Macaca mulatta: one gene and its partners. The protein of the gene in region 1 interacts with the protein of each later gene in a pairwise test. Links are inferred from orthologs where the notes say so. Each region holds a gene or a part of one and is shown in the gene's direction. Other genes may lie near its edges. The genes, in order: MRFAP1L1, UBTD1, TXN2, HTT, C2H3orf62, PSMA1 and LNX1.

Region 1 (4,065 bases):
TTGTTCCACATCTTCCCCAATACTTGGTATTGTCAGTATTTTCAATTTTAGTAATTCTAGTGGATGTACAGTGCTTCCTCGTTGTGCTTTCTAATCCGCATTTCCCTGTTGAATCATGAAGTTGAAAACCTCTTCATATACTTATTGGCCATTCGGATATTCTCTTTTGTGAAGTGCCAGCCTATGTCTTTTGCCTGTTTTAAAATTTTGTCTTTTCCTTCTTGATCTGTAGGAGTTCTCAATATATTCTGCATGAGTCAAATATCTTTTTTCACGGTGCCTTGCTCTTTCCCTCTTAATGTTCTTTTGATGAACATCTGCTAGAATGTTGGTGTTTGCAAAACTGTTTCGCACACGTCATCTTACAAATCCCTCTTCCCACTGACAGATATTCAGGCTGGGGCCATTGGTCTTTATCAGACTGGAAAACTGAAGTTCTGATCTGTGGCACTTGTGTAAGAAGGATCCCCCCTCTACACACACTCATATTACTACTAGTGTGGCACTGGGTGACTAAGCCTAGCAATAGACTTCTTCCATTCCACAATGGCATTAGGTTGGTGATCAAAACGTATTGACGATCAAAGCCACATTTACTAGGTCCCTGCTCATTTTCAGGTCTTGTGTGTGGAGGGACATAAAGGTGACCAAGACCAGAACCTGTCCCCAAACAGCCTCCAGTCTGGTAGAGGCACTTAGGTACTAGGCAATTCCTCTCTCTAAAGCATTCTCTAAGGCCCTGCTTGACGCCAGGCTGACGGAAAGGGCGGAGGACAGAACTGAAACAGAAGTTGCCCTTTACCTTGAGGACCTTACAGACTCTGAAGAGAGACCAAAAATCACGGGCCAGAACCACCCAAGGCAGCGAGCGAAATTCCCCCCAGAACAAAAGTATGAGCCAGGGGTGGGGAGGACAGAGGGACGAGTTCCATTCTAGAACACTGAGCAGGGACTGTGGACCCACATTGCTTTGAGCTCAAATCACGACTTTTAGCCCGGTTTTTACTTCTCTTATAGGTTCGTTGTGAGGGCTAAGTGAATTCATATAAATTAATCCAAGCTTCTGCATGCTTAGATAGTAAGCGCTGTGAACGCCAGCCAGTCTTATTCAAATATGCGGAAGGGAGGGTCATTTTTACTTTAAAAAAATAATAATAAAAGTAAAACCCCTCTGAAGGGAAGCTTTAGGGGAAGACGCGAACAAACCTGCCGCCACCAATCTAAATTAGAGAAGAGGGCGAGGCGGGGCGCCGGGAAGCTGACGGCCATAGCCATGCGCGCGCCCGAGACCCCTTTACGTGCGCGCGCCCGCTACTGGGTCTCGCCGAAGGCGTGACCGTAAAGGAGCCCGGCTCTGTCGTGAAAGGGCCGCAAAAAGGCCGAGGGCGAGTTGACGGCTGCGACTCCATTTCGCAGGTCGCTTTGCTGTGTGTATCCACGGCGATTCTTCCCACGGAGTTCCAAAGCTAAAGGCTTACAATTAAAAGGAAGAAAAAAATTAAAGATAATTCGGGAGTACTATTGACAAAGCGTGTGGGCTCAGCCTCCAGCAATCACTGCTGATCTCCAGTCCCTGGGGGGTTCCGGTAAGAAGAACGCCCCTCCGGTACTGAAGAAGCGGCAGGAGGAGATGCGGCCCCTGGACATAGACGAGGTGGAAGCGCCTGAGGAAGTGGAGGTGCTGGAGCCGGAGGAGGATTTCGAGCAGTTCCTGCTCCCGGTCATCAACGAGATGCGCGAGGACATCGCGTCTCTTATACGCGAGCACGGGCGGGCGTACCTGCGAACCAGGAGCAAGCTGTGGGAGATGGACAATATGCTCATCCAGATCAAAACGCAGGTAGAGGCCTCGGAGGAGAGCGCCCTCAATCACGTGCAGCACCCGAGTGGCGAAGCCGACGAGAGAGTGTCGGAGTTGTGCGAGAAGGCTGAGGAGAAGGCCAAGGAGATTGCGAAGATGGCAGAGATGCTGGTCGAGCTCGTCTGGCGAATAGAGAGAAGCGAGTCTTCTTGAAGGAGGAAATCGGCGGTAAGGTCGGAAACTCGCGGGAGCTTGGATGGAACTCAGTAGTCGCCCTAAGCATGGTTAAACCGCGCCCTGTAAAAAGTTATGTTCTAGGCCTGCATCCCCCATTTTATCGCATCAAAAATTGAGCATTGGGAACAAAGTTGGGGTCAAGAGGAAAGAATGCGTGCTGGTTTTGTTAGGTGTTAGTATACCGTTTTTTTGTGGCCTCTCCCTCCCACACTGGTAATTAGAGAAAAATAAAAGTAACTTCGGGTTTGTTTTTGTGAAACGTAAGTCAGTTCTAATAGGGCAGTCGCCAGGAAGTAGACCTGTCTCGGCACTAAGGGAGTTTGGGGAAAGCCACAGAAGACCTAGGCTGTGGAGCACAATGGAACGCAGGCTGAGAACGCAGGGAAAGAAATAAAAGAGTAAAGCCAGAGGCCATTACCTGAAATTTCCAGACTGTTCTGTGAGACAGGTATGTCAGAGGACCGTGTCTCAAAGAAGTGGCATTCTTCTGGGTGGTTCACATTTATTTTTAACATCAAGATATGGAACTTTGAGAGTCAATGTCTTCATGGTAAATTTCTCCCAATTGTGCTTTAGGTTCACAGCTGAGGACTGTAGTCGACTGGTAAGGATGAACTGACACCTTGAGGAAACTGAAACAGCTTGTCATTTTCTCTGTTTTGTTTTTGTATGTTTTTTACCCCCATGTAACAGTCTCCCTTATGGTCAGTGATTGATGACCTCGATATGGATTTAGATCATCAAATGTGTTTGGTTCTGGAAATACAACTTTTGTCGAAGAAATACTTTCACAAGAGAAATGGGGCTTAATTAAGTTGTTTTCGTGGTCACGTTTACTCTTGTTACTTCGCTGTGTTTTTGAAATGTTGGGCATGGCCTTGTATTTTGCTGTTACCTTTGTGACCTGATCGTTTTTGGGAACACGTCAAGACTTGGGATCAGAATCTTCCAACTTTAGAGGTGCAGTGGAAGATACTACGCTGCCTGGTTGAGCCTGGTGAAGAATGTATTAATGAGACTGCTTTGCATAAAGCTGGGAAGAACGAGAAGACAGTTGGAGATGGAAGGTGGTTTTGTATATATTTTGGAACTTTAGTTCCTCTGTGAGATGAAAGAGGAGAGCTATGTTTTGTGGCACATTGTCTGATATATATTGTGTAACCTGTCAGGTGAGTTGATTTAGACCACATAGCTGACCTTTTATGACAAGGCAGTTTGATTAGGAACTGTCGTAATACCCTCACACATTACAGGGGCATCAGAGAATGGCATCGAAGAGACAGTCTACAAAGAGCTTTAAGAGGCCAGAGAAAGGAAAAGACATTATCAGGGCCTGGAAAGTCTCTTCCAGTTCATCAGGGTAGTAGACCTGTCAGATTGGAGGTCAAAGTCAAACGTATAGTAAGTATTAATTTGCCTTGAAAAACAAAGACCTAAAAAGCCTTTTTTAAAAAATAAATTTTTTGTTCACATGACCAAAGCCCCTCCTGTGTGTGTTAATAAAAGAATCATAAATCAATCTTTTTGAAATGGATGTTCTTCACTGAGTGTCATCAAATGGGGTTGAACTGCTTGTAGTTAAAGGCTCTTGGTCAGCCTTTAACTGAGGGAGAATTATTTCTGGAAGGTGCTGTGGAGATGAGCTGACGGAACACTCAGTTCTGAAGAGAAAAACTTTTCGGCTATCCTCTGGGCCAAGCCCCTGCTTTTCAGCAGCAGAAGTGTGTTTAGTCAACCAGTGGGAATGTAACGTGCTTCATATCTTATCCAAGGCACTAGGAACATAAAGGTGAGACGTGGATGGGACGAAGGTGTGGGACAGAAATGGAAACAAGGAATTGCGATATAGAGTGTGTGGATATCATGTGGGAGCCCTGAGGAGGGAGTCAACTCTTAGTAGGGAAGTGTGTGAATTCAGAGCAGGTGACTTACCTGGGCCTGAAAAGTAGAAATGAATGAAGACATATAAGGCATAAGGATCAAAGTGAGCAAAAGCCTTTTGAGTTCCAGCACTGGGGAGACGGCCA
Region 2 (2,574 bases), on another chromosome or scaffold:
CTAAATCTGTCCTATCACCTGTGAAATAGCAATAGTAATACCTACTGCCTAAGCAAGGATGAAATGGGATCGTGTATATAAATAAAGCCTTGCCTGGGATTCTTTCTCAGCGGAGGTCAGTGCCTGCTATTCTCTTCCTTTTGCCCCAGCCAGTGGGAGCAATCTGGTGGTGGCCCCTAGCCTTAGTTCTGCCTCTCGGCGTAGGACCTGAGTTATAGTGGAGGCAGAGTGCTTCACATCTCACTCCTGTGGCTCACTCTGCCTTTAGTTTTGAGATGACTGAGCCTCCAAAAGCCTTTGAGAGATGCCTCTGCCCTCAGTCTTGACTGTGGTTTGGAGTTGTCTTGGAGGTCACTTGGAGCTGGGTAACAAGAAAAATGACATTTGACAGAATTGTTTTATTTGTCAGATGCTGCAGGAATTTTTTGGGGAGTTTGTTGATTACGATTTTTTAAAAAAAATCTTTGTGACTATACAGTGGGACATTAGTAACAAGATGTTAAAATTGTTAATAATTTTTTTTTTTTTTTTGAGACATGATCTCGCTCTATTGCCCAGGAAGGAGTGCAGTGGCACCATCACAGCTCACCGCAGCCTCAACCTCCCAGGCTCAAGTGATTTCTCCCATGTTAGCCTCCCAAGTAGTAACTGGAACTACAGGAGCGTGCCATCGTGCCTGGCTAATTTTTTAAAATTTTTTTGTAGAAACAGGGTTTTACCATGTTGCCCTGACTGGTCTAGAACTGCCGGGCTCAAGCGATCCTACTGCCTCCCAAAGCACTGGGATTACAGGCATGAGCCACCGTGCCCTGCCCCACATGATCATTCATTCAATCACGCCTGTAATCCCAGCACTCAGGAGGCCGAGGCGGGCGGATCACAAGGTCAGGAGTTTCAGACCAGCCTGACCAACATGGTGAAACCCCATCTCTACTAAAAATACAAAAATTAGCCAGGTGTGGTGGTGGGCATCTGTAATCCCAGGTACTCAGGAGGCTGAGGCAGGAGAATCGCTTGAATCTGGGAGTCAGAGGTTGCAGTGAGCTGAGATCATGCCACTGCACTCCAGCCTGGGCAACAAGAGTGAAACTCCATCTCAAAAAAAAAAAAAAGCAACAAAAACAATGGTAGCATATGCTTTGCTGACACAATTATTTTATGTCCCTAGGTTGGTTATGTGAAGTTTCCTGACTCTTCCCTGCTATTTAGGAAGGGCTTCAGAGACCTGAATACTTAGTAGCCAGTGCAGCAGGGTTTCAGGGTCTGGCCTGGGAGGGTAGGGGAGGGGGAGGGCAGGTTGCAGCTCAAGTAGCTTTAGAGATGCTGAGCCTCTCCTTCTGTCCTGCCCAGGACGCAATGAGCCCCTGAAGAAAGAGCGGCTCAAGTGGAAGAGCGACTACCCCATGACTGACGGGCAGCTGCGGAGCAAACGGGATGAGTTCTGGGACACAGCGCCTGCCTTTGAGGGCCGCAAGGAGATCTGGGATGCCCTCAAGGCCGCCGCCTATGCTGCTGAAGCCAACGACCACGAGCTGGCCCAGGCCATCCTGGATGGAGCCAGCATCACCCTGCCTCATGGTAAGTGGACAGGGCCAGGGCTTTATCCCCGCTGGAACTCGGGGGTCACCAGCACAGTTTGAGGGTGTTGAGGGGTGTGGAGCGGTGGGGCAGGTGGTTACTCACGTGTTCATTCTTTCAAGCAACCCTTACTGAGCATGGACCAGGAGTGGGTACACAAGGAAAATGAGAAAATGAGACACAGTCTGTGCTTGCCTAATGACACGACAGAAAGACATCAACAAACTTGTAAAGCAGTGTCACAAATGCATTTTGGGACCCTAGAACATCCAAGGCACCGACCTTTATTTTATTTTTTATTATTTTTTTTTGAGATGGAGTCTTACTCTGTCGCTTAGGCTGGAGTGCAGTGGTGGGATCTCAGCCCACTGCAACCTTTACCTCCTGAGTTCAAGCAATTCTCCTGCCTCAGCCTCCTGAGTAGCTGGGATTACAGGCATGTGCCACCACGCCTGGCTAATTTTTGTATTTTTAATAGAGACCGGGTTTCACCATGTTGGCCAGGCTGGTCTCAAACTCCTGAGCTCAAGTGATCCACTGGCCTTGACCTCCCAAAGGCACTGACCTTTTATTGGGTCATTATGTGCTGGACACTGATCTAGAAACTTCCACTGCATTAGCTCACATAAGTTCATAGTAGCCTTATGGGGCCATGTAAAGCAGAGGGTAACAGTGGAGCTCTAGAATCACAGAATTGAGTTTCTTTTTTTTTGAGATGGAGTTTCACTCTTGTTGCTCAGGCTGGAATGCAATGGTGCGATCTTGGCTCACTGCAACCTCCGCCTCTCAGGTTCAAGTGATTCTCCTGTCTCAGCCTCCTGAATAGCTGGGTTTACAGGCATGCGCCACCAGGCCGAGTTAATTTTGTATTTTTAGTAGAGACAGGGATTCTCCTTGTTGGTCAGGCTTGTCTTGAACTTCCACCCTCAGGTGATCCGCCCGCCTTGGCCTCCCAAAGTGCTGGGATTACAAGCGGGAACCACTGTGCCTGGTCAC
Region 3 (3,500 bases), on another chromosome or scaffold:
GCTCAAGCCTGTAATCCCAGCACTTTGGGAGGTCAAGACAGGTGGATCACGAGGTCAGGAGATCGAGACCATCTTGGCTAACACGGTGAAACCCCGTCTCTACTAAAAATACAAAAAAACTAGCCAGGCGAGGTTGGCGGGGGCCTGTAGTCCCAGCTACTTGGGAGGCTGAGGCAGGAGAATGGCGTAAACCCGGGAGGCGGAGCTTGCAGTGAGCCGAGATCCGGCCACTGCACTCCAGCCTGGGCGACAGAGCGAGACTCTGTCTCAAAAAAAATAAATAAATAAAAAATAAAAATAAATAAAACCCTCAGGCCTGACTGGATGTAGTATGTACCACCACACCTACTGCTCAGGAGGCTGAGGCAGGAGAATTACTTGAACCCAGGAGGCAGAGCTTGCAGTGAACCAAGATCGTGCCATTGCACTCCAGCCTGGGCAAAAGAGTGAGACTCCATCTCAAAAATAGATAAATAAGTGCTGAGAATAAAATAGGAGTTGTCAGCCAGGGGTTTGTGAAGGGTGGAACTGTTTTGGCCTGCTGGTGTAGTGAGCATTCCAGAGAGGGCTTCCGAAATGCACGATAAATGGGGTAGTGCCTCATTTTGTTTGGTAAGGAAGTGGGGTGTGAGTTGTTCATTCTTTGCCAGGCACTGTCCTTGGTGCCACATACATAGAGATGACAGCACCAGGCCTGTCCTGGATGAGCTTCCCCAGCAAGAGGGGAACCTGTGATCAGGGCAGTGATAGTGGTCAACTCAGGGGCTGTGGGATCACAGAGTAGCCTGTGGGTGAAAGAAAACACTTTCTTTTTTTTTTTGAGACAGAATCTCTGTCGCCCAGGCTGGAGTGCAGTGGCATGATCTCTCAGCTCACTTCAACCTCCGCCTCCCAGGTTCAAGCGATTCTCCTGCCTCAGCCTTCCTAGTAGCTGGGATTACAGGTGCCCACCACCACTGCTGACTAATTTTTGTATTTTTAGTAGAGACAAGGTTTTACAATGTTGTTGGCCAGGCTGGTCTCGAACTCCTGACCTCAGGTGATCCGCCTGCCTCGGCCTCCCAAAGTGCTGGAATTATAAGCGTGGGTCACCGCACCCGGCTAAAGAAAACACTTTCAACACAGCTTTGGGTTATGATCGATCCCGGCTGTGCTTCTCTAATCTTGCACTGGTTTCTTAACTCGTATGGGCTTCAGTTTCTTTGGAAGGTGCGTTCTCTTTGCAGAGTTGAGGGATGTGTTTGGTAAGAGCAGAAAAAGTGCTTGTCCAGGGACTGGCGCGTTGTAGACACTCCTGGCCATTGGTTCCCCTCCTTTTAGTTCTGAGTCCACATGGTGTTTGCAATAACCCCGCAGCTTCCAACGCATGTTTACCCACATTGCCTTAGTTGATCTCTCCTAATAGCTTTGAGAGCCATAATCTCTCTTTTTCAGATGAAGAAACTAGGACCCCAGAATAATCGGCTGGTTGGTGAGGAGCCTCTGTTTGAACCTTTTAACTTCCAATCCCATATTCTTTTTTTTTTTTTGGGACGGAGTCTCGCTCTGTCGCCCAGGCTGGAGTGCAGTGGCCGGATCTCAGCTCACTGCAAGCTCTGCCTCCTGGGTTTACACCATTCTCCTGCCTCAGCCTCCCGAGTAGCTGGGACTACATTAGCTGGGACTGCAGGCGCCCGCCACCTCGCTCGGCTAGTTTTTTGTATTTTTTAGTAGAGACGGGGTTTCACCATGTTAGCCAGGATGGTCTCGATCTCCTGACCTCGTGATCCACCCGCGTCGGCCTCCCAAAGTGCTGGGATTACAGGCTTGAGCCACTGTGCCCGGCCCCAATCCCATATTCTTTTATATGACAGTATATTTATCTGAAATATACTGAAATAAGTCACTTTTATTCTAAGAGTCTTCTGATGAGGCCTGTGTTTTAGAAGTCTGGGATCTGTGAAGATTTCCCACGTGCAGAATCTCCTGGCATTACCATTTGGTGTGTTAATTTTTTTTTTTTTTTTTTTTTTTGAGACGGTGTCTTGCTCTGTCGCCCAGGCTAGAGTGCAGTGGAGTGATCTTGGCTCACTGCAAGCTCCGCCTCCCGGGTTCACGTCATTCTCCTGCCTCAGCCTCCCGAGTAGCTGGGACTACAGGTGCCCGCCACCGCGCCCGGCTCGTTTTTTGTATTTTTAGTAGAGACGGGGTTTCACCATGTCGGCCAGGATGGTCTCGATCTCCTGACCACATGATCCACCCGCCTGGACCTCCCAAAGTGCTGGGATTACAGGCGTGAGCCACTGTGCCCGGCCTGTTATTTTTTAAACGTGGTAGACAGAGATAATAAGGGCAAAAGATTCCTTGGAAAGATGCAGGTCTGGGAAGCCAGTAGGGGATGCTGAGCGGTCTTTTGACTGACTGGATGCTTCCTTTCTCGCCTTTTGAGGTGGTGTGGGCCCTGCAAGATCCTGGGGCCGAGGTTAGAGAAGATGGTGGCCAAGCAGCACGGGAAGGTGGTGATGGCCAAGGTGGATATTGATGACCACACAGACCTCGCCATTGAGTATGAGGTATGGATTGACAGGGGGTTGCCACAGGGCAACCAATGTAGGGGGTGTTGGGCCCAGGGGTAGCTGGTGTAGGAGATATCTTGGGGAGGACCAGGTAGCCAGTAAGCAAGGTGTCTTGGTTTTTCCAGAGCTTTTTTTTTTTTTTTTGAGATGGTGTCTCACTGTCACCTGGGCTAGAATGCAATGGTGTGATCTTGGCTCATTGCAGCCTCTGTCTCCCAGGTTCATGCAATTCTCCTACCTCAACCTCCTGAGTAGCGGGGACTACAGGCGCACACCACCACACCTGGCTAATTTTTTGTATTTTTTATAGAGACAGGGTATCACCACGTTGGCCAGACTGGTCTCGAACTCCTGACCTCATGATCCGCACACCCCGGCCTCCCAAAGTGCTGGAATTATAGGCATAAGCCACCGCACCCGGCCTGTTTTTCCAGCGCTTTTAGTAGCTCAGAGCACTTTGCAGAGGTGGCTGTTGATCCTCTGAGCCACCTGTCTCTTCGCCACCTTTAGGAAGTAGATAGTACGACCCGAAAACACCAGGTCATTCTCTTAGTCTCGGACATTGGTACATTCCTTTATTCATCTACCCACATGTTCAATGAGCAGTCATTTGGGAGCTCGATGTGCAAGCATTTGTGATTCTGACACAAATAAGATGAGGTCTTGTCTCCAGGCAACTCCTAGAGAACAGCAGGTAGAAAGATCATCTCCGTATAGGGTGAGGAGTGCTAAAAGAAGAGACGTATAAAGGAAGAAGGGACTGTTTGCTTGTGGGGGAGCTGGAGGGGACAGGAACGCTTCACGTTAGAGAGAACCTCTGAGTTGAGCCATGAAGGATGTCAGAGAAGGAGGAAGGGTTGAGGAAACAGCGTGCACAAAGGCATGGAGTCGCCTCACTTGGTTGGTTGGTTGGTTTGTCCATTTATTCAGCAGATATTTGAGAGT
Region 4 (3,500 bases), about 2.9 Mb from region 1:
TCTCGTCTGTCATCCTTGCTGGGCGGTGGGTGCTGTGCTAGCAGGACGCAGGACAGGCGGACAGCTGGCAACTGTCTCTGCATCCCTGGAGCCTGGCATAGGGCAAGTCACACGGGGGACACAGGCCTGCAAATCAGGCACATGCGTTGGTGCAGCGAGGTGATTTTGGGGGGCAGCCCCACAACAGGCCCCAGGCACAGGCCAAAGCCCTGGCTGTGCTGGCGTGTTGGGCCGTCTATGGCTCTTGCTGTGGGCATGGAGGACTCAGGAAAGGAGAGTTGAGGTGGCCCAGGAGTTGCGTTTGGGATGCAGAGAGCTTGTGGCATCCAGGTAGAAATGGTGTGTGGGGCTGGCCTCAGTGCCATGGGCACGGGCTGTGTCACATGCCTCCGAGGTAGAGGTGGGATCACGTGGTGATGGATATAAGCATCACTGGGCACATTTCTGTGGGTGGAGGGGGGCATCTTATTGGCTCCTCTGTTCACAGTGGCCACTCATTCAGTCCCTGGCTACCGGGTCCCCATTGTGCCATGGGGAAGGCAGGTGCTGTCGGGGGATCACACAAGGCAGCACGTCATGGTGGAATGTGCCACGAAGGAAAAGCACAGGGCACTCAGGAAGTAGAGGGGACTGGCCTGGGGTGTGGGAATCCAGGGCCTCTTTGAGGGACAGAGAGAGGAAGTCTGTGGTGGCCAGTATGGAGGTGGCCACAGGGGAGGCTGGGCCAGGCCGAGAGGGCAGGGCGTGGAGGAGGTAGACGGGCTCAGCTATCCAGGGAGGGGTCGAGCAGAGGCTGAAGGGTCAGGCCAGGTTACAGGGGCCTGGGGAGCCACACAGGGTAGGTGCTCCCGGGAGCCAGCCTGGCCCGCAGCTCTTCACTCCCGCGTGTGGCTGGGCATGCTGCGAAGCCCTCTCTACGTTGGATGGGGGCGGCTGAGCCTGGCTGCTGTCTCCCGTTTTCAGCTGCGTGAACATTCACAGCCAGCAGCACGTACTGGTCATGTGTGCCACTGCGTTTTACCTGATTGAGAACTATCCTCTGGACGTAGGGCCAGAATTTTCAGCATCAATAATACAGGTGAGTGGGCCCTGACTGTCTTCCTCTGCACACGGGGAGTGGGCTTCCCTTCTCTTTTCCTTGCGGGATCATACCAGTGGGCCAGTTTTGACTTGGTGGGGAGGAGGCATGAACACCTGAGACCATGCAGCGACAGAAACCTTTCTCCCTGTGCAGATGTGTGGGGTGATGCTGTCCGGAAGTGAGGAGTCCACCCCCTCTATCATTTACCACTGTGCCCTCAGAGGCCTGGAGCGCCTCCTGCTCTCTGAGCAGCTCTCCCGCCTGGATGCAGAATCCCTGGTCAAGCTGAGTGTGGACAGAGTGAACGTGCACAGCCCGCACCGGGCCATGGCGGCTCTGGGCTTGATGCTCACCTGCATGTACACAGGTGAGCATGTACACAGTGCCCGCAAGGCCAGCCCAAGTCCTGTTCAAGGGAGACAGGAGCATGCTCGCTCAAGGAACCTAGACTAGGTGTCCTCTGATTTGACACTTTTAGTGTTGCCCCAAGCTGGCCCCATCACCTTGCAAGAGAGGCTCTGGAGCCCCCAGGGCTGGAGTACCTGGTCAGGGTTGACCACCCCTCTGGTCACTCATCCCATGTGGCTGAGCTGTGCTGGGTCCTGGGCTAGCGAGGGGCTCACATCACCTGCTGTCAGGTCTTCTCCAGTGATTCATTGGACTCCTGTGTACAAAGCACTATCTACAGAGCCTGTTGGGTTGTATAGATGTAACCTTCGTACTGAACACTTTTATTACAGGAAAGGAGAAAGTCAGTCCGGGTAGAACTTCAGACCCTAATCCTGCAGCCCCAGACAGCGAGTCGGTGATTGTTGCTATGGAGCGGGTGTCTGTTCTTTTTGATAGGTAAGAAACGAAGCCCCATCCCTCAGCCGTTAGCTTCCCTAGAATTTTGGCCTGAAGCTGAGCGTTTGTGTGTGTTGGCTGATCCCCTGGCGCTGTTGCTGGAGTCCCGCCAGTGATTCCTGACCACAGCCTGACCGTGGGCTGCCTTGGCTCAGGGTTCCACTGGCGAGCTGGTGGTCCTTGGACCCCAGCGCTCAGGTGTAGTGTTGACCAGTTCCAAGGTTGTCCCAGCGCCTGCCCATCTCTCCTGAGGGCTCAGGCACCGCACCTGGCCGTGTGGGGTATGGCAGGGGGCAGGAATGACCAGTCTCTGGGAGGGTGCGGCAGAAGCCTGCGCAGTGATGAGGAGTTGGCTCAGCCTGGCTGCCTGTCGTGAGAGGGGAGCCCACGGGGGTCTGTGGGAGGGGGTCCATGGTGCCTGTGAGCAGGGTGAGGGGCAGCAGCAGGAGGAGGAAGGTGAAACCCACACATGCATCTTTTGAGACCCGTGTGGTCAGTGGCTTCTCCTCGCTACCCCTCCGCCCCACTGCTGTGCGTGAATTGGTGTTGAGAATTGGCTTCGCTCCCCTGCTCTGGAAGTGGGTTAGGAGCTTCGTAGGGCTTTTTCTTAAGGACAAGGCTCCCTGATTGCTCTCAGGCCTCAGTCCTGGCGACATGGCGGATCTGGGGCGTTGTTGTGCTGCCTTGCCTGTGCTCTCCAATCAGGGTGTCCCAGTCCTGGCGACATGGCGGATCTGGGGCGTTGTTGCACTGCCTTGCCTGTGCTCTCCAATCAGGGTGTCCCAGTCCTGGCGACATGGCGGATCTGGGGCGTTGTTGCACTGCCTTGCCTGTGCTCTCCAATCAGGGTGTCCAGTGGGGAGCCATTTGGCTTTTCTCAAGAGCATACTCAGGTGGACTTTGCTCTATTCTTTGGCCAGATGAGGTGTTCTGAACAGCTGAGCCTGTGCTTGTCTGTTTTCATGTTTTTTTTTTTTTTTGAGATGGAGTTTTGCCCTTGTCACCCAGGCTGGAGTGCAATGGCGCGATCTCGGCTCACTGCAACCTCCACCTCCCGGGTTCAAGCGATTCTCCTGCCTCAGCCTCCCGAGTAGCTGGGATTACAGGCACGTGCCACCACGCCCAGCTAATTTTTGTGTTTTTAGTAGAGACAGTGCTTCACCGTGTTGGCCGAACTGGTCTCGAACTTCTGAACTCAAGTGATCCACCCTCCTCGGCCTCCCAAAGTGCTGGGATTGCAGGCGTGAGCCACCGTGCCTGGCCCCCATGTCGATTTTAAAACGCACCTCTGCATCATTCTTCAGTTCCCACATGCTCACTGAGCACCACCACAGCTGGCAGACGGACACAGGGAGGCGCCACGACCAGTCCTGGCCTTCAAGGGGCTTGTGGTCTAGTGGACCCAGTGCTAGGTGGCGAGTGCTCCAGAGAGCGTGGTGCATGCCTTCCGCTCTACCGCCCTCCAGACGCCGCAGGGAGGCACCTTGGAGCTGACCACAGATCTCCCTCCGTGGAGCACTGTCTTCAGCGCAGCCGCCATGCCACTGCTGGGCGAGGGTCTGCGGGCGGGTAG
Region 5 (4,094 bases), on another chromosome or scaffold:
CACGACCAAGCAGCTGTCAGCAGGGCATGGGGGATGATGAGGCTTGCAGCATGGACACCAACTGATGCTGACTCCACGATCCTGCCACCCTGCAGCACCAGCATAATCCCCCAGGAGAACATCTTTGACACTCTGCAGACTGCTAGTGTTCTGTCCAAAAACCAGACAAGGAAATACCCTTCTTTTATGAGCAGAAGGGGGAAAAAAAAAAAAAAAAGACCGTTTACCTAGAAGAAGCTATGTCAAGAGGCTGAATTATTTTTATTTTTAAACAGGTGGTGAGAAATTTCTGTGAAACCTGTGAAGCTGAAAAGGGGGTGGGATGGGGGTACACAATGGAGTATGTCTGATGGATCCCAAAGAATGGAGAGAAACACAGGCGCTGAGTATGGAGCAGCCTGGAGACCCACCCCACCTGCAGGGCTGCCCTGAGCGCCTGGATTTCTGGTTCTGATGCTGATACTAGTCACCCCAAGTAGTCTGCTCACAGTAACCCAAGCCTCAAGTAAACTCCCCTTTCCCTCGCTATGTGCACTGATACGGGTTTATAATTTTTTGAAAGTTACCCACTGAAGCCCATTTCTCCGTTGAGTCATCTTGTAATTTCCAGCTTTCTCCCCGCTAAGGAAATGAAGATATTTAGTGTTGGGGATCCTGGCCTCTCAACCTCCTGTGGAACCCAGCAGTTATGTTACATCCCCTGCTACCCTAGATGAATTAAGACGGTCAAATGCTGTGTGGAACTTTTATTAGATAACACACTTTTTATTAGGTAACACTTAAAGGAAGTCAGTACATAAAACTGCCTGGTGCTGTGTCCCATCCAGTTGTTTCCATGTTGGCTTGAGAACAGAAATCTTTGTGGGAGTTGTCAGCCTGGAAAGGGCTCCAGTTCATGACGATTTAGGGTAGTAATACATTTTGGTGTTACCCAGATGCTTTCTTGAACAGGTTCTTTCCTCATCCCTGCCAAGACTCTTACCGGGACCCCGGTCGAAAGACCCGTCCCCACTCCCACCGAGGGGCCAGCTGCTGCTTGTGGGGCCACAAGGCCTTAAGGAACCGGACATACGGGTCTGGGCTTTTTTGTTTGACCTTTAACCTAATCCGTGGGGGTCTGGGGCCTGCGCGGGGCGCGCGCATGCGATGACCGTTGGCTGGGTAGGCGTCACTGCGCTGCGGGTGAAGACAAGGACGTGGCTGCGACCTGTCGGAGGGCGGGGTGCGGGGTACGGCCGGGCGGCCTGGGAGCCGCGGTGGGGCGAGAGGCAGTAGCTGGGCGGGCCAGGAAGCTGTGGGAAGTGGGGCGGGGCGTCCTTGGGGCTTCTGGCAGATCGCGGGTTCCTCCGCGATAGCCGAGAACCGCCTACTCCAGGAGGAAAGCCCGAGGGTTGTGGGTCCTGCTGTAGCCAGGGCCAAGCTCCGGGAAATCGTGGCCGTTCGGGGTAGTTTGCAGCCTTATTTGTAACATTATTGTGTTGCCCTATGCATTTCCAATGCATTACATAAAGACATGGTCGCTTTTAGGAGAAATGTCTGAAAAACTAAGAAGATGCAGAAAGGAACTGACTGCAGCCATTGACCGGGCCTTTGAAGGAGTTAGTTATTCCCAGGAGTGCACAGGCCAGCGGAGGCTGGAACTGAGCGCTGCGCCGCTCTCCTCCTCGCTGCCCGTGCACAGACTCCTCTGCAGAAGACATCCTCTGGCAGCCTGCTCCTCTGCTGTTCCTTTTGCTGCTGTCCCATGTGCTCCTGAGAATGAGAACCCTGCCTTTGCAACAAACCATGCCTCGGTAAATGCAAAACCACATGCTCTGTGCCCCGAGAGAAAACCTCTGACCAGCAAGGAAAATGTATTGATGCATTCCTCCATTTTGGCATCTGAAAGAGAGTCTTGGAGAACTGCAGGAGAGGGGGAAAACTGGAGAAAAGAAAATTTAAGGTGATTCTAATTTTGATAGCTTAACAGCTACAATTAAGGGGATTCTTGTTTTTGAAAAAATTGTTGAAGATCCTAGATTTAGTTCATGACAGTGCTCTTACCTCCTCTTGGCAACTCTGTGACTGCATTTGGGGAGTTCATAGACATTCTTCAGAATCTGGCCTAGGAAACAGTTATATTTTGTGTATGTGTTCCAGTTGAGGGGCTAGTTGTCAATCGTTGATGTCAAACCAGTCATGGAAACCACTTTGCAGTACCCAAAGGGGTAGTGGATGTAAAATAACCTGGTGTTTAAAATAACCTTATTTTTTAAGTTGCAGAAACAAAAGTCTTAATTCCATCTTAACTTCTGTGTTTGAATCTGGACACTGGGGCCTTTGATACCCTCCTTTGCCCACATTAGGGAGAGGCTGAATTGAAGTCTGGGCCCTACTTCCTGGCTTATCTTTGCCTCTGCTCCCCACTCTTACCCCAGAGTTTTTTGGACCATCACCAGGTCTCCTCTAGACTTTTTCTTCTCTCAAGTAACTTGAAATTGCCTGGTCCCAGACAGCTTGACTTGGAGAAGGGATGAACATAAGAGATGAAGCTTCAAAGTTCTGCCATCTTGGCTGCTTCATAGGAAGGGAATAAAGAGGCCATTTAATTCATTCAGCTCCACAAAAAATTTTTTTCCTTTCAACTCCACAAATAAATTGGTACTCATAAGCAGTGCAGGCCTTATTGGGTGTGGTGGCACGCCTGTAATCTCAGCACTGGGAGGCTGAGGTGGGTGGCTTGCTTGAGGTCTGGTGAAACCCTGTCTCTACTAAAAACACAAACAGTAGCCGAACGTGGTGGCGCGCATCTATAATCCCAGCTACTCGGGAGGCCGAGGCAGGAGAATTGCTTGAACCCAGGAGGCAGAGATTGCAGTGAGCTGAGATCTTGCCACGGCACCCCAGCCTGGGTAACAGCAAGACTCCATCTAAAAAAAAAAAAAAAAAATGCTGGGCATAGTGGCTCACGCCTGAATCCCAGCACTTTGGGAGGCTGAGGCGGATGGCTCACCTGAGGTCAGGAGTTTGAGACCAGCCTGGCCAACATGGTGAAACCCGTTTCTACTAAAAATAGAAAAATTAGCTGGGCGTGGTGGTGGCCGCCTGTAATCCCAGCTACTCCAGAGACTGAGGCAGAAGAATCGCTTGAACCCGGGAGGCAGAGGTTGCAGTGAGCTGTGATTGCGCCATTGCACTCCAGCTTGGGGGACAAGAGTGAGACTTCGTCTCAAAAAAATAAAATAAAATAATAAAAATAAATAAATAAATGAAACAAACAAATGCAGGCTGGGTGAGGTGGCTCATGCCTGTATTCCCAGCACTTTGGGAGACCGAGGTGAGTGGATCGTCTGTGCCCAGGAGTTCGAGACCAGCCTGGGCAACATGGCTAAACCCTGTCTCTAAAAAAGAAAAAAAATTAATACAGTCTGATACAGTCATGTGAGTCTGTAATACAGTCATGTGAGTTATTATGGTAAAGCTGTTAGTCAGTTTCTCCACTGACGTAGCAATTTCCAATTGTCCTCTAATCAAAGCATAAATGACAAGATCACCAGTAAGTTTTTGTCTTTGAGATTATCTAAAACTGAGTTTCCCTTCAATATTTTCTTGAAAGAGAATCTAATTCCCCACCTTTTCTTCCCCCCAACCTGGGGGCTGCAGGAAAGATATGGAGAGAGATTTGAAGGCTGACTCAAACATGGCACTCAACAATTCTAGCCAAGAGGTCACAAAGGATCTGCTTGAAATGATCGGTGAGTACAGTGGGCCAGTCCATCCTGTCCTTGGGAAGATAGGTCCTTCACATGGGTCTGAGTCAGCAAGTATCTCAGATTTAAGAAACACTCTCAGCCGGGCACAGTGGCTCATGCCTGTAATCCCAGCACTTTGGGAGGCCGAGGCGGGCAAATCACGAGGTCAGGAGTTCAAGACCAGCCTGACCAATATGATGAAACCCCGTCTCTATTAAAAATACAAAAATTGGCTGGGCCCGATGGCTCACACCTGTAACCCCAGCATTTTGGGAGGCCGAGGCAGGCGGATCACGAGGTCAGGAGATTGAGACCATCCTGGCTAACATGGTGAAACCCCATCTCTACTAAAAAATATAAAAT
Region 6 (3,983 bases), on another chromosome or scaffold:
AGCCACCGCGCCCGGCCTTTTTTTTTTTTTTTTTTTTTTGAAACAGAATCTCTGTCGCCCAGGCAGGCTGGAGTGCAATGGCGCGACCACGGCTCACTACAACCTCGATCTCCCGGGCTTAAGAGATCCTCCCACTTCAGCTTCCCGAGTAACTGGGACCACAGGCGCATGCCAACATGCCCAGCCTTTTTTATTTTAGTATTATTATTATTATTGTAGCGACGAGGTCCCACTGTATTAAAATAATATAGTGATCTCGAACTCCTGGGCTCAAGCGATCCTCCGCCCTCGGCCTCCGATAGTGCTGGGATTACAGGCTACCGCACCCAGTCTCTTTTTTTACAAAGAATGTAAATAGCCGGTGGATGTTAGATTGGCAGCTGTTTGCAAAGATGTCAGACTATTTCATTACGGAAAGATGCTCTCAAAAGACAAAATAGGTAAGTCGAAAGAACGTGTCCATTTTTTCTCAGTGGCCTAATCAGGTATCATGCTTGGTTTTGAGGACACAGAAAGACAGCGCCCTCATGGAGTTCAAAGTCTGGTGGAGGAAACCAATCATAATAATAATGAGGGGTTAAAGACAACAGAGCCTTGAAAGATAACATCTCCAGGGAATAAGGAAGAGCATTCCAAGGTATCTTGCCAAATGGCAAAAACCGCGGTTACTTTTGCACCAACCTTAATACAAATAAAAGCATGTACACAAACAAGATACTCGAGGAAGAATACGGCTGACACACAGAAACGGATCGTTATCTTGGGGCTTTCCTGCAGCCTCGTTTCTTTCAGTCACGTAACACCCCAAAATCTGTGGACGGTGAATGAGAGCTAGTATCACCCGGAGTCACGGCTGTTGCCTCGTAAGACTTTAGATGCAGCCCGCCACCGGGAGAAACTGGAGGGAATCCGCAATACACAGGAACCAAGAAGGGCTACGTGACAGGGGGTCCCCCGCAGCTCTCAGCCGCCGGCACTCCCAGCCCTGGGTTTCCCGCCAATCTCAGTTACTAGATCTTCCCAGGCTCCGCCCGCCGCCGAGCGGTCGGAGAGTTTTAAGGAAGGGGAAGTGTTGCAAGCCTATCGATATCTCTGGAATAGACTGCGCTACCCTGCGCCGCCGCCATCAGACTCCCGCAGACTTCTCTGTAGATCGCTGAGCGATACTTTCGGCAGCACCTCCTTGATTCTCAGTTTTGCTGGAGGCCGCAACCAGGCCCGCGCCGCCAACATGGTACGTTGAATCCCGACCTCTGGAAGGTTTAGGGCAGAGCTCCGGTGACTCGGGGATGACGAGCCACCTCTCCTGTCATCCTTAGCGCCGCCCGGGGCCACGAGGTATGGGAGCCTCGGCAGACGGCCGGGCTCCGGCAGTGATTCAGCATCTCCGGCCTGGCCGGGTTAGGGGCTGTCGGTAGCCAGTGCGGCCTTTCCACCGCTTTCGCTTCCCGGGGAGCCTCCGACACTTCCTCCTCTGTCAGCTAGATGAGTTCGCCCCTCAGGTTCCTTCAGTGGAGTAGATTCTGAGCGGTCCAGAATAGCCCCTAGTGCTGTGTATGGGAGAGGAGAAGACAGAGACTTGGAGGCCTACCTGTACCACCAGTGCGGACTTGACCCCCAGGTTTGTGTTCCTGGACCGCGTCCGTTTTCCTGGTGGGTCCGTCTGATTTATCTCTCCCCTAGACTTCGGTTAGAAGAGGCCCTTTTCAATAATTTTGTCCAGTCACCTATTTACAGATGAGTAAGCCGAGGCTGAGAAGGGAAGTGATGGAATCTGGGTTACAACATAGGGTTCTGGGTTTCCAGTGCTGTGCTCGCACTCAATCTCACTCCCGTGATTAGTCTCCCCAGCACTGCTAGACTTATTATAATAGTCATAATAGCCGTAATGGTTCTATCGCTGCAGCTGTTTGTGTCCACCTCTAACTTTCTGAGGACATTTTTGTTCATTCAATATGAATATACAGACAGAGCATTTGTACAAGCATAACTACAGTGAACGTTCAAAAGTCATACATGTCCCTAATCATAAAAGCAGAAAGGGACGTTTAGATAAAGAACTGTGGGAGTATGTGTTAGGGGGATTTGGGAAGAAAAGCTAATCATAAAAACAGAAAGGGACGTTTAGATAAAGAACTGTGGGAGTATGTGTTAGGGGGATTTGGGAAGAAAAGGAGAAGACTTCCAGAAATCGACATTTAAGCTAACTTAAAGAAGAGAAAGGCTTTTAACCATTTATTAGGTCCCAATAAAAGGGAGCAGCATAAGCAAAAATAGGCAAGAAAGTTGATTGTGAACTTTAGTAATTGAGCCTAAAGGGATTGCTATGAAGGGTTTTAGAATAAGAGGTTGGAAAAATAGGACCCATTTAGATCTGCTTCTCCCTCTCCCACCAGTTTATGGTAAATGTAGAATTGGCTTACGTCTGAGTACAGTAGTAATCTTCCAGTAAGATTGCATGAACAGAGTGCCTTAACATTGAATGGAAACACAAGCATATTTCTTAATGAATGTTAGAGTTGGGATTTGAAATGTTCTTCTATTAACAGGTCTTTTTTTCTTTTACTTTTAGTTTCGAAATCAGTACGACAATGATGTCACTGTTTGGAGCCCGCAGGTAAAATAATGTTTTTTAAACTATTTCTGTGAAATGGCTTTTTGTGGCTGCAATATATTTAGAAGCTTGTGAGAGCATAGGCTTGGGGAAAATGGAATATAATATTTTAGTCGTTCTTGGAAGTTGCATTTATAATTAAAATAGGTCTCCTAATGGACCTAGAGGACATTATGTTAAGTGAAATAAGCCAGAAACAGAAAGAAAAATATTTCATGCTCTCACTTATATGTGGAATGTTTTGTTTAAAAGAGCAAATATATAGAGAGAGAGAATAAAACAGTGGTTACCAGGGTAGGGAATAGCAGTGGGGAGGAAAAAAGAGGAGATACAAAGTATCAAATATGTAGGTTGAGCAAGTGGAAGGATCTAAGGTACAACATGAAGACTACAGCTAATAATGCAGGTAGTGTTTTGTATTCAGGATTTTTGCTAAGTGAGTAGTTGATAGCTCTTGCCACAGCAGAGGAAAATGGGTAAGTATGTGAGACAATGGATGTGTTCATTCTGCGATAGTGACCCTACTATATATGTGTATCTTACAACATCATGTTGCATACCTTAAGTATATACAACAAAATTTATTTTAAAAGAAGCTTTTGGCTAGGCGCAGTGGCTTATGCCTGTAATCCCAGCACTTTGGGAGGCCGAGGAAGGTAGATTGCTTGAGTCTTGGAGTTCAAGACCACCCTGAACAACATGAAACCTGGTCTCCACAAGAAATACAAAAATAAGCTGGGCGTGGTGGTGCCTGCCTATAGTCCCAGCTACTGGGGACGGTGATTTGAGAGGATTGCCTGAGCCCAGGAGGCAGAGGTTGTACTGAGCTGAAGATTGTGCCACTGCACTCCAGCCTGGGTGACAGAGTGAAAACCTGTCTCAAAAAAAAAGTTTCTTGATTTAAAAAAAAAATCAGTTGAGATTTAACTATGCCCACCTGACATTTGAAAACTCTAATTTTTAAGTTATAAAAGGCCTTCTAAGATGTGGTTTTGTTTTTTTTTTTCTTTAGGGCAGGATTCATCAAATTGAATATGCAATGGAAGCTGTTAAACAAGGTTCAGCCACAGTTGGTCTGAAATCAAAAACTCATGCAGTGTTGGTTGCATTGAAAGTAAGTAAAGTAATAAATATGTCTTCCTCTGTAAAAAACTATTAATGTAAATTTCACCATAGACAGTAAGGTTGTAAACTTATTTTTACATTTTTTTTTTTAACATCTTATAATGTCTCCATTTAGAGGGCACAATCAGAGCTTGCAGCTCATCAGAAAAAAATTCTCCATGTTGACAACCATATTGGTATCTCAATTGCGGGGCTTACTGCTGATGCTAGACTGTTATGGTAAGTATAATCATGAAAAATAAAC
Region 7 (4,077 bases), about 74 Mb from region 1:
GCAGACTTAGTTCAAAGTCAGTGTTCTCAAATATGTATTGACTAAATTAGTAGTATAAGGGGATATATAAAAATTTAGGAAAAAACTTAGCTTCTTGAGCAGCTCAAGACTTCACCATTCTCATTAACTCATTTCAGTGGAAATCAAATGAGTCACCACACTCATTAACTCATTTCATTAAATTTGTTCTTGAGGTAACCATAATTTTCTCATTGGGAAAAACTACCAAACTCTTTATACTATGCCGAATCTTTTTCGATAGGCCTAAATTTAGAGAATGAGTGCAGAATAGGAAAGAAGTCCACATTTACATTCAAAGTTTAAAGCCACCTAGTATCTGAGGTCACTGATCAAAAACAGCTGCCCATTTCCCAGTGGGAAGTAAAATAACCCAACTTAAGAAAAAAATGCCCACAAAGTCAGATCAAGGTCTGACTTTGCAACGGGTTAACATAAGGAGGTCTCACTGCTGCAATAAAGTTAAATACACAACACCAATAAAAGAAAGCATTTACTTTTTAAGGAAATAAAACAAGTAACACTGGTATCAACTTGAATGGATGCTTCAGGAGGGCAGGGGATTTTGTGTTTTGTTTAAACATCTGCAGAAAGATGATCAAAGCAGGGTGTTCTCTCCAGTATCAAGAGGTAAGAAAATGGACACACTGTGACTTACTGGGTTCAAAGCTTTGAACTAGAACATGTAATGTTTTAGATGGTTATGTTTACAGCTTCTCCATATGAAATATTCAGTAAGAGTATACTCATTTATATATCAAACTGGGCAATGTTAAAACTGGTATTTGATCATGACCTTGGATAACAATCATCTAATTCTTACCTTTCTCCAAAAAATTGGGCACACATCCTCCCAGGTGGGAATGTTAATGCTTTGGTATTTACAGAATAGTCAGTTACCTGCTTTGTACATGAGGAGTCAGTGAACCATTATGTAAAATGTGTATCTGACACACCACAGCTCCCAAAGAATGAATTTACCACTGACATCAAGGTTTACTGTGAAATGCAGCAGATACATATTTTACAAAATATGAAATTTAATGAAATTCATACTTTTAAGCAATCATTTCAGTAAAAGAAATTGTTATGATGTATATGTATGACAATAGATTCAGAACTGGTTAGAGTTGAATTTCAGCAATACATCTTAAAGGTATTTGCCAAACAAACCCTAAAGCTCATTTTATTTCAAGTGAAAACACCATCATGAAAAAAAGTCATGTCACATTGACTAACAAGGTTGGTAACAAATGTAATGATCAACTTTATCACTTAACATTTCACAAGACTTTTTATTGGTTCTAAAAAGCAATTAATATTTTAAAGGTACGGTATATAAACAAAATAGCCATATCTTGATTTTTGGCAACATGAAAAGGCCAATTTCCTTTCAAAACAATTCCTGGACTACAGCTACAAATGTGGTGAACAACGTCATATAGAGTAAAATTCAACTCCTGACACACACTTCTATGGCAACTGTAACATAGTTAACACTTGGCCTGTACCTATATGAACACTGATTCATTAGGGGCCAGTGAATAAAAATTTCTTCAATCTCATTTGCTATTTTAGTTGAGGATTCTACTAATTTACAGAAGAGCTGGGCCTTTCCTTCTCCCATTCCTTTTATAACTTCCTATCCAGTTTCCTGCAGTTTATTTTTCCTCCTATATGAATTGTTCTTATAATCTTTAAATGTATCTGTTTCCGTTCACTTTATGCCTGCATGCTTCTCTATGACTTGCCAAACATGTAGAACTGGGTGTAAAGTGGTATTTTTCCAAGGTCAAAAAAAGTATACAAATTCATTTATTAGGATTAGGTTTAAATTGCTTTCATTGAGATTATTCAAAGGATTTTTGCCTTCATTAAAAATTATATCAAGTAAATATTATATGACATCCATGTTTGTTCACCAATAAGGATTTAGGTTTATCCAACTTTTTGCTAATACAAATTCAAGCATTGTCTTAAGTTAAAAATATGATTATCGTTCCCAGTAGATGTATAACAGAACACAATAGGGGGTGTCAGTTTTTTAAGGATATTCAAAATTATGGAAAACAGAGGTTCAATTACAAAAAGCCAGCTAACGGCACAAAGGTCACCAAGGTACGATACAATTTTGAGTGGGACCTATGCAGTGCTACTTAGCCATTAAAAATGCCAACAAAAGGAATGGGGGATGAATCACAGTTAAGTATTCCCTTAACTGTAACACTTAAATGTGCATGTACACTGACTACATTCTATTTCAGGTGCTTGTATAACTGTAAAGACATTATATTACGAAGAAACACAGCTGGAAGTCTGGGCTTCTGCATTGTAGGAGGTTATGAAGAATACAATGGAAACAAACCTTTTTTCATCAAATCCATTGTTGAAGGAACACCAGCATACAATGATGGAAGAATTAGGTAATAAAATAATGACTAACCAAAAAAACTTGTATTAAATGTTGTTTAATAAATGCCAAAGCTTGGCCTCATTTGAGATAAGGCATGTATTTATTATACTTTGTGGGGAGTTAAAGTATTTATGTAGCATTCAACTTCTGAGAAATCCAAAATAATTACACATATTCTTAGTCCCATACTACAACTCCCCATACTTTTAGCATTCCTTCTAACACAAGCTGAGTGGATAGTGAGTTTGGAGAATGTAAATAAGAGGCAAGAAATATCTAAATTAAAAGCAACATAATTAAAATGATCAGATGCAGCAAAAATTAGGACCACTAAGATAAACTTGCATTAACTTCAGCAATGAATTAAAATACTAATCATATCTTGGTTTTTTTTTTAGATGTGGTGATATTCTTCTTGCTGTCAATGGTAGAAGTACATCAGGAATGATACATGCTTGCTTGGCAAGACTGCTGAAAGAACTTAAAGGAAGAATTACTCTAACTATTGTTTCTTGGCCTGGCACTTTTTTATAGAATCAATGATGGGTCAGAGAAAAACATAAAAATCACAAATAGGCTAAGTTGAAACACTGTATTTATCTTGTCAGTTTTTATATGTAAATACACTGTTAAAATGTCAGGAAAAGTATGATCTAATGAAAGTCAGTTACACCTCAGAAAATATGATTCCAAAAATATTAAAACTACTAGTTCTTTTTCAGTGTGGAGGATTTCTCATTACTCTACAACTTTGTTTATATTTTTTCTATTCAGTAAAAAGCCCTAAACAGCTAAAATGATTTGTATACCCCACTGAATTCAAGTTGATTTAAATTTAAAATTTGGTATATGCTGAAATCTGCCAAGGGTACATTATGACCATTTTTAATTTACAGCTAAAAGATTTTTTTAAATGCATTGCTGAGAAACAATGCTTTCATCAAACAAGAAATAAATATTTTTCAGAAATTATAGTTGTCTTTTAGTATGTGATACTAATTAAGATTACTTGTATTATTACCATTTAAAAGATCCTAGTAATTTATCCTTGCAAATACCATGTTATTTGTTACCATCACTGACAAATGTGTTCTAGGGCTATCCCTAAAAATGCTCAGAGAATATAAACTTGTTTTGTTTTAGTAATGGCTAAAGCTCTTTTTTCCACAATCGTTAGCGACTGTATAAAAACTTGCGCTGCTCCACCAGTGGGCCTTGGGAAATGCATCAAGGCCAAACCAGCTTGACCCTGGCTCATAGACATGGTCATGAGGCTATTTAAATTTGTGCCACAATGAAGAGTGTTTGTACACGTGCCTCCTAGAAACTACACTAAGGGTAATTTATTTCATAGAGCCCACCCAAATGCCTTATAGGTTTTATTAATTTGGATATGAAAGTGTACCCCATTTGGTTTCACCAGGAACCCAAATTTAGAACACTGAAAAGCTATCAAAAAGTTGTGATATCAAAAATGTGTAAGTCTCTTAATATACTAAGCAAGAGTGTCACAGCAGTAATGATAAAGACTAGTTTTAGTCTCAAGCCTTAGAGGGGCCCTTTGTTGCCTTTTGTGGTGCAGCCTCTTACGAGACTGGTGTTTTGTTTGTTTGATTAACAAAACTGTGGCCCAAGTGGAACCTTGA

What was found.
Region 2: the proteins of MRFAP1L1 (region 1) and UBTD1 interact in binary tests that used the Homo sapiens proteins (3 or more experiments, as listed by UniProt). The two-hybrid records come from large-scale screens. The link is inferred for Macaca mulatta from reciprocal best matches to the Homo sapiens genes MRFAP1L1 and UBTD1.
Region 3: the proteins of MRFAP1L1 (region 1) and TXN2 interact in binary tests that used the Homo sapiens proteins (3 or more experiments, as listed by UniProt). The two-hybrid records come from large-scale screens. The link is inferred for Macaca mulatta from reciprocal best matches to the Homo sapiens genes MRFAP1L1 and TXN2.
Region 4: the proteins of MRFAP1L1 (region 1) and HTT interact in binary tests that used the Homo sapiens proteins (3 or more experiments, as listed by UniProt). The link is inferred for Macaca mulatta from reciprocal best matches to the Homo sapiens genes MRFAP1L1 and HTT.
Region 5: the proteins of MRFAP1L1 (region 1) and C2H3orf62 interact in binary tests that used the Homo sapiens proteins (3 or more experiments, as listed by UniProt). The two-hybrid records come from large-scale screens. The link is inferred for Macaca mulatta from reciprocal best matches to the Homo sapiens genes MRFAP1L1 and C3orf62.
Region 6: the proteins of MRFAP1L1 (region 1) and PSMA1 interact in binary tests that used the Homo sapiens proteins (3 or more experiments, as listed by UniProt). The two-hybrid records come from large-scale screens. The link is inferred for Macaca mulatta from reciprocal best matches to the Homo sapiens genes MRFAP1L1 and PSMA1.
Region 7: the proteins of MRFAP1L1 (region 1) and LNX1 interact in binary tests that used the Homo sapiens proteins (3 or more experiments, as listed by UniProt). The link is inferred for Macaca mulatta from reciprocal best matches to the Homo sapiens genes MRFAP1L1 and LNX1.

What each region holds. Positions count from the first base shown.
Region 1 is NC_133410.1:6,327,361-6,331,425, forward strand, and holds MRFAP1L1 (MORF4 family-associated protein 1-like 1), read left to right. Parts: upstream 1-1,380; 5' UTR 1,381-1,630; coding exon 1,631-2,014; 3' UTR 2,015-3,565; downstream 3,566-4,065.
Region 2 is NC_133414.1:109,608,562-109,611,135, forward strand, and holds part of UBTD1 (ubiquitin domain-containing protein 1), read left to right. Parts: intron 1-1,049; exon of another isoform or gene 1,050-1,350; coding exon 1,351-1,578; intron 1,579-2,574. UniProt on the Homo sapiens protein: May be involved in the regulation of cellular senescence through a positive feedback loop with TP53. Is a TP53 downstream target gene that increases the stability of TP53 protein by promoting the ubiquitination and degradation of MDM2.
Region 3 is NC_133415.1:15,073,161-15,076,660, forward strand, and holds part of TXN2 (thioredoxin, mitochondrial), read left to right. Parts: intron 1-2,428; coding exon 2,429-2,552; exon of another isoform or gene 2,553-3,500.
Region 4 is NC_133410.1:3,412,755-3,416,254, forward strand, and holds part of HTT (huntingtin), read left to right. Parts: intron 1-963; coding exon 964-1,078; intron 1,079-1,234; coding exon 1,235-1,448; intron 1,449-1,821; coding exon 1,822-1,927; intron 1,928-3,500.
Region 5 is NC_133407.1:112,712,889-112,716,982, reverse strand, and holds the start of C2H3orf62 (uncharacterized protein C3orf62 homolog), read left to right. Parts: upstream 1-1,294; 5' UTR 1,295-1,496; coding exon 1,497-1,942; exon of another isoform or gene 1,943-2,533; coding exon of another isoform or gene 2,534-2,556; intron 2,557-3,642; coding exon 3,643-3,734; intron 3,735-4,094. Other genes in the region: USP4 (ubiquitin carboxyl-terminal hydrolase 4), read left to right, coding at 1-65. UniProt on the Homo sapiens protein: Essential for normal spermatogenesis and male fertility.
Region 6 is NC_133419.1:50,928,508-50,932,490, forward strand, and holds the start of PSMA1 (proteasome subunit alpha type-1), read left to right. Parts: upstream 1-1,183; 5' UTR 1,184-1,231; coding exon 1,232-1,234; exon of another isoform or gene 1,235-1,621; intron 1,622-2,572; coding exon 2,573-2,617; intron 2,618-3,626; coding exon 3,627-3,728; intron 3,729-3,854; coding exon 3,855-3,958; intron 3,959-3,983. UniProt on the Homo sapiens protein: Component of the 20S core proteasome complex involved in the proteolytic degradation of most intracellular proteins. This complex plays numerous essential roles within the cell by associating with different regulatory particles.
Region 7 is NC_133410.1:80,049,242-80,053,318, forward strand, and holds the end of LNX1 (E3 ubiquitin-protein ligase LNX), read left to right. Parts: intron 1-2,282; coding exon 2,283-2,441; intron 2,442-2,829; coding exon 2,830-2,965; 3' UTR 2,966-3,577; downstream 3,578-4,077.